Linked DNA regions of Drosophila melanogaster. The protein of the gene in region 1 purifies or fractionates together with the protein of each later gene. This does not show direct contact. Each region holds a gene or a part of one and is shown on either strand. Other genes may lie near its edges.

The links. The genes of interacting proteins can lie anywhere in the genome.
Region 2: the proteins of Ogdh (region 1) and Mpcp1 purify together in Drosophila melanogaster (affinity purification with mass spectrometry, with the first as the bait; one large-scale study listed by BioGRID). This does not show direct contact.

Annotation. Positions count from the first base shown.
Region 1 is NT_037436.4:16,952,755-16,956,508, reverse strand, and holds the start of Ogdh (oxoglutarate dehydrogenase), read right to left. Parts: upstream 1,688-3,754; 5' UTR 1,630-1,687; coding exon of another isoform or gene 1,567-1,629; 5' UTR 1,466-1,566; intron 1,184-1,465; exon of another isoform or gene 1,182-1,183; 5' UTR 967-1,181; exon of another isoform or gene 918-966; intron 746-917; exon of another isoform or gene 696-745; intron 1-695.
Region 2 is NT_033778.4:20,279,404-20,283,157, reverse strand, and holds the start of Mpcp1 (mitochondrial phosphate carrier protein 1), read left to right. Parts: upstream 1-2,030; 5' UTR 2,031-2,170; intron 2,171-2,220; exon of another isoform or gene 2,221-2,314; intron 2,315-2,548; exon of another isoform or gene 2,549-2,568; intron 2,569-2,712; 5' UTR 2,713-2,730; coding exon 2,731-2,923; intron 2,924-2,992; coding exon 2,993-3,754. Other genes in the region: CG16868 (uncharacterized protein), read left to right, coding at 1-1,008.

The sequences.
Region 1 (3,754 bases):
GAATGATAACTATGTAGATATCAGTGTACCAATTAGTCTAAGACTGAATAAAAGCTATTATCGTAGTTGGCGTAAAACATTAAATTGCCATGATACCCTATAAAAGGGTATAAGAAGGCAAGAGAGACGCACTCAGTGGGGTTTTGCATTCCATTAAAAAAAAACCCTGGACGAGCCCCCTCTAGGCGAAGAAGAAGAAGAGCGGTCCAAGGGCATGAAGTAATTGCGGAGCGGGGTGCGAGGGGGAGGTAGAGGTTCCGTAGTACTATAATACTTTTGTGGTTACTATTCCCGATCTGGGGCCTTTGCAGCCGACTTATGATAGGTTGTGGCAGATGATCCACATCCGTCAGCAGAAAAAAATAACTAGTTGTGCTGCCCCAGACAATGCGGCCGCGCGCTTTCTTTGCGGTTTGCTGTTGCTATTGCCATTGCTTTTGATTGATGATTCATTGGGCGGCGGGGAGAAAAGCACACGCGGCACTCGGTCAATTGCGTCATCAATGCGGCAAGTTAATTTTACAAAAAACCACATGTGACGTCGCCGACGTCGCTTGTTTTGCATTGCGAAATTTCACTTTTCATTTGGGGCGGCCGGCGCAAGCGCTTTTCCGCCGACGAGACGCCCACCTGCACTTTTCCAATTATATAAGAACAGTCCTTGAAATTAAATGGGGAAAAACGTTGGAAAATACCAATCAAATGCCTGCTAAATGCACTTTTTAGAAAGGGGAACACGCGGCAGTGTCTCATTGATCGCTGAAACGATGATGGTAATTCCTGGAATTCCACATGATGCAAAAGCGGACCTCGAATGTGGGACAAGTGAAAAGCACGCGAAATGCGAGTTTTCCGCTGAATCCAGTACTAAGTCTAAATGGACCATAGCCCCGCAGACTTTTTGCAAATTAACGCACATGATTTGATTATTTTTACACTAAACTTGCTTAAAGTTTAAATATTTACGTTTTTACAGCCGAAAACTTTTGCGTTAGTGGTGGGACTGTTAATGCTAGCGCACGGCCTGGACTCTCAAACATATCGAAACGCTATCGTTTTGTGCCAGATATCGATTATTTTTACAGTTTTGGTGAGCGGTAACACTAGCATACAGAGCTTATTCCTATGCGACTGCAGATGGCGCCACTGTGGAAGATCATGAAAGGCGCGATGTAAAAAGTCTGTAAGTAATATGTAAAGAATTCAAAATTTTTCCGTAATCTACTTAAACCATTTGATACCTTTAATTTAATAATATAGGTTCAAGATATTATTATTATTATTATTATTTTATTATTATTATTTTTTTGTAACCACGATTGGGTTGACTTCTGCTTGACACTTTTCCATTTTGAATATCCGTGAAATCATATCAAGTTATTTAAGAAACATTGAAACGAAATTTTCAAAAGAAAAGCGAGAAACATATGTTTAGTAATTTCCAACAATGTTTGAAGCCACCTACATTGTTTTTCTCAGGAATAGTCGCAATAGTCGCGGCCTGACACAAAAACTGGAATTCAACTTGCACTAAACCATTTAATTGCTACGCACACTAGACAGAGACTAATATCTGCTGTATTGATCCAGACAGTAGCCGGTAATTTGGTCCGATATACAGTCAAAGACATTGTAAAATCCCAAATAAGAAGACTTTACTCGTTGAGTTTTTGTAAGAAAACTGATTTTATTTGGAAATATCTTCGGTTTAAATAGGTGACATGAGAATCGCATCTTAAAGTAAATGGCCTACGCAGAGGCCTACGTAAATAGTCCCCGCCTTATCGAGGTCCCACGCTCGGGCACATCTGCCTATCTTGAGCGGCGAGGACCTTATCTGTGGTCTCCCACTAAGGGACTATTTTAGGAGGCGGGGAACGATCTCAAGTGACTGACTCATGTAGTGTGCACTTAAATTACATGTTTTTGAGCAATGCACCCATGTCGCCTTAGATAACAAAATCCTAAATATAATTTATCGCTCTCGATTCATTTACATAAGATATGAACGGAGCCCAAAATTGTAAGTCTTTAAATATATTCGTGTTCATGTGTGAACATTCTGCCAAAGGGCCAGCAAAGCTGAGATGTACATTAGTATATTAGTTGCATTTATAACAGTAGTGGACTGTATTTATTTGATATATGTTCATTTATTTTGCAACTAAGATTTCAATGGGCCTAGTTTTTCTGGCTTTTAATTTTATTGGATTACAATTATGGTTTATATTATTTTTAATTCAACAATTTGTACTTAATTAACTTATTTTAAACATTTTGCTTTTTCTATGTAGAAGTACATTTTCTATTAGTGGACTGTATATTTTTATTTGTTATATTATTTTATTGTTTATTTACTATTGATATTTATAGTACTGGCAACGGACCTGCAAAGGTTATTGCTTGCATTCTTTGTTGCACAGCACATTTCCGTATGAAATATATTATTAATACTATCATTAGTATTAAAGCAATAATTAATCCAGCATGTCCGGAAATATGATGGAAATGTAAATCTTTCAATTTTTGATGGTTCTCTTTCATAAATTTAATTTCATTATTCAATCGTTCAAATTCCTCAGTATGATTTAATATTGATAGTTTCAGCGGATCCCAAATAATCTTCGGCACTCCACTAACTTCTCCTATATAAGGTGTTGATAATAATTCTTCACTTTCGGACTGAATGTTATGGTGGGCAACTAGAATTTTATCGTCGGTTCTTGCCGTACAATATGGCGCAATGCTTAAAACTCCTTGCTGAGGCAAATCAAACAATTCAATTTGAGAGCCAGTACATTGCAGACGGACTTTTGAATTCGCAGGAACCTTAAACAACCAACTACTTTTCTTTTCTAACTCTACCCAGTAACTTTTAGAGTCGACTACTGTTTTATAGATGCAGTTCGCCGCTTTATCTGGCTTTAGAGGCTGAATCTCACATGCATTATCATTCGCTGAATTCCAGGGCCAACTTCCTTTGCATATTCTCTTATTTAGTTGCCATTTCTGACATTGATTTAATGTGGCTTCCGTCATTATGTGATAGGAATCTATCTCAAAATTATAAATTAAATATTCGGACGTTGTATGCACCATTATTATCCGATCTTCATTTCGAATTGGCACCGGAATAAGCCTGAACAATTTGGATGGATGCCTGCTAAACAGAGGCACTTTTGCACTAATGATCAATTTATCGTCGATGAATAAACCCCTGGCTGTTAACAGTGTATACACCTCCTTAAGTTCCGTACCTGACCGTTTTCCTGGAATTACTAGGTTCTCTGAAAGACTCTGCTGAATTTTGGCAATTTCTTTTTTAAGCTGATTTGGCCTGAGAATATTTGTATTTAGCCTACCGTGATTAATATCAATCAACAGGCTTATAATGCCTGCTTGAATTTTTTCGCCTTCTTCAATCAATGAGTGTAGCTGTTTCGTAATCATAAAGAATTTTATTGATTCCTTATAAACATAATAATTTTCTTTAAGAACTTCTGTCATGTTCTCAATTCTTATTTGCATACTTCTAAAATTGGAGTTAACATCTTCTGTTGTTCTCTTTAATAGATTAGAAGTTGAATCAACCACAGATGTTTGTTTTTGAATTAGTTTATCAAGGTTGTTCTGGTTATCTAACAAATTCTTCATATTTTCTTCTAATTGCTCTCTATCATCTTCATCCATTATACCAAATAAAATATGATACAAGGAACCCATAAATTCGAAAGGAGCACGCTTGCTTCTAGAT
Region 2 (3,754 bases), on another chromosome or scaffold:
CAATTTCCGTACTGTCCACCGCCAAGTGAACATTTCATTGCACTTCCACCGACCACACAGCTGCTGAGTACTCTGCCGAATTGTCCTGGTTCTGCTGGCATATGCGAAACGTATTCCACTCAAAGAGAATGCCTCGGAGTGATGGGCTGCGAATGGTGCCAGCTGGATGTGGACGGCAATAGTTTTTCGACCTCCTTCTGCTCGTCCCAGGCGAGCTGCTTCAACGGAGTACTTGCCTCGCTGACACCCTACGGTGAGCTGGACGAGATGGAACTGCTGGCCGCCCACAATCCGCAGAGAGAGCAGCACGCTTACTCTGCATTTGGTCCGCTAGGAGGAGCCATTGTGGTGCTTGTCATGGTGATTGGCTTTGCCATCTACTGCTACAGACACAATCTGGATGCGCAGACGCAGGAGCACTTCTATGTGGATTCGGTACAGGAAGAGAATTACGGCTTGCCGCTGTCCAGGTTCAACTTTGACGATTGCAAAGCGCATGACGAGCCGCCTCTTGGTGGCGGCTATGACCACGCATCTGCACAGCGGCAGCTGATGCACGCGGCGGATATTTCGCCCTACCACGTTTCCAGCGGCAGTAGCTATCGCCGGCCACCCAACGGTGAGTCGGATCATGGCTACAGCACAATGACGCCGCACGAGGACAGTTCCGATCAGCAGTGCTTCACGCTGGCGGAACCTTTGCTGCTGCACGACAAGCGGCACAGCAAGTCGGACACCATGTCCATATCCACATCCATATCGAGTCCCACGAATCGACAGCAGTCCTCCTCGCAGCCAAACACGCATCCCTACTTGAGCAATCAGCCGACCTCAAAGACGGAACGCTACAAGCAGGTGCAGGCCACGCCCTCGCCATGTCGCGGAACGCCAGCAGGTGGTAGTGTCTACGGGCAGACGACGTTGCCCCTCGAGGGGGATAAGACCCGGCCACACTATATCCTGGCACCAGTGACGGTGCACCGGCACATGGAAACTGCCGAATCGTAGTCCACAATAGCGTTGTTAAGTTTTAGAGCGTAAGATGTCCGCTTGTTTGCCAATTTAGTTATGTAAGTTTCCAAAATGGGCAGTTCAACTGCCGACAGTCCAGAATGCTGGGCCCGCATTCCAAACCCGCAATGTGTTTTGTGAGCTCGCGGTGGCCTCCATTGTTGGCCCATCTGTATCTATTAGAGCCTCCGTGGACGAGACGAACACCAACTATTAAGTGATGACATTGTTTCTGCCATTTTTGATCGATGTATTGTATTTGTATTGTATTGTATTTTACTGTAATTTATTGCAAAAAGTATTACTATATTATGTGCAGCTATATACTTCCGATATTTTTAGCATTTATTTGATAAGCACCAACAACAGAAATGTACTTACTTGTCTGATTGTAAGATACCATGTCGTATATCGTTTTTTGTAATAGCCCCTAAGACTACAGAGTTACTAACTACTGATTTTAGTAATACACATCTATAATAGCATTGTACGTTTCAAATAAAATGTTTAAATTTTGCAAAAAAAACCCACAAGATCTTAACCTTGATCCAGAGCGATCGGATGAATCGATTGGGCTGCCAATTGCTCGTCCTCCGATCAGCTGGTCGTACGTTAATGAAATTATTTTTACACCTATACATTTTATAAGCAAACCAGACGCTGCTCAATGGGCTCTTTTTTTGCTGTGGTGGCCAAGAATTGCCAATTTATAAATAACAATCTCTATTCGGGGGTTGTCAGGTGGCTTTTAGAGCAAAATTAGCTATGGATCTTTGGTGTAAGTTTTTACCCGATACCCAACCATTTCATAACCGTCATTAACCGATGTCATAAGGCTGAGATAGCCAACATATTCAATATCTTCAAAAAGAAAGTGTCTTTATACTGATTAGCTGTGCATTTGCTGTGTAAGTTCTTACCCGATACGCAACCGTTTCGAAACCGTTATCAACCGGTTGGCTTTGCACTCGGCTGGCAACCCTGAACCGAAGCTGCTAGCTCTCACTATACCATTGCAGCCACTGCATTTGGTTTTCTGGTCTGGCGCACGACGAACGTTGCTTTGGGTCCCCACATTTCAGCCCAACAACGACTCTATACTTCAACTATATCTAATCCCTATCTGCACTTCACCTCCTTCGATACCCCGCACTTTGAAGTGAGTGTTTAAGTTTGCTCGGTGTTTTGAAAACCGTTCTGTTTTCGAACATTTTCGAAATATACGCAAAGTGATACAATACGTACTCTGGGGAGAACATTACGCAATGCATAAAAAGTGTTTGGCGAATGAGAAAAAACAATAGTTATGTAAAAAATAATGCAAGTATACATTCTCAATTTCAATATAACTTGATAAAAAAAAGAAAGTTTATAAAAAAAGTTTTTTGATGAAGTGATTTCGGATTGAATATATTATTGCCAATGCTTATCATTTACTATTGCTAATTAATTTTTAAATTATAATGATACTAGAAAAACAGTTTTTAAATAATTGTATAATCTTTCAGGATTAAAGAACATAACTTCTATGTGCTCAAACGTTTTTGACAAAAGAAAGTACGAAATATTAATTTATAGATGTAAAAACAATTAAAATAGATTAAATGTATTTAGTGTAGGCGGTACCACTTGCAATTTAGTTTGTTACATCATGACCTTAACCTTAAACCCATTCGAAACCCTTGATCTCTGTTTTCAAAGGCACTTCTCTAAGGCATCATGTTTAAGTCCCTGTTCGATGCCGCGCAGAACTCAACGTTCAAGTCGCCATTCACTAGCGTCAACTGCCAGTCAGCCACGCCCACTTCCGCCCCCACATCCACCGCGGTGGTGACCCCCACCCTCAAGGATGTTGCTCCACGCCAGCTGACTCGAAACCACAACATCGCTGCCGCTGCCGTTGCCGAGGGTGGTAAGTGGGACAAGTCCTCCTGGAATCACCAATGAGTTGGATATATAAGTATTGTTAATACCTCTGCAGACTCCTGCGAATTCGGCTCGAACCACTACTTCCTGCTGTGCGGCCTGGGCGGCATCATCTCGTGCGGCTCCACACACACCATGGTGGTGCCCCTGGATTTGGTCAAGTGCCGCCTGCAGGTGGACCCGGCCAAGTACAAGAGCGTGTTCACCGGCTTCCGCATCAGCTTGGCTGAGGAGGGCGTCCGCGGATTGGCCAAGGGATGGGCACCCACCTTCATCGGCTACTCGATGCAGGGTCTGTGCAAGTTCGGCCTGTACGAGGTCTTCAAGAAGGTGTACGGCGATGCTATCGGCGAGGAGAACGCATTCCTCTACAGAACCGGACTCTATTTGGCTGCATCGGCATCCGCTGAGTTCTTCGCCGATATCGCCCTGGCGCCCATGGAGGCGGCCAAGGTCAAGATCCAGACCACGCCCGGATTCGCCAAGACATTGCGCGAGGCTCTGCCCAAGATGACCGCCCAGGAGGGCGTGACCGCCTTCTACAAGGGCCTGGTGCCATTGTGGATGCGCCAGATCCCATACACCATGATGAAGTTCGCCTGCTTCGAGCGGACGCTGGAGCTGCTGTACAAGTATGTGGTGCCCAAGCCACGTGCCGATTGCACCAAGGGTGAGCAGTTGGTGGTGACCTTCGCCGCCGGTTACATTGCCGGCGTGTTCTGCGCCATCGTCTCGCATCCGGCGGACACAGTGGTGTCCAAGCTGAACCAGGCCAAGGGTGCCTCCGCCCTGGACGTGGCCAAGCAGCTGGGTTGGT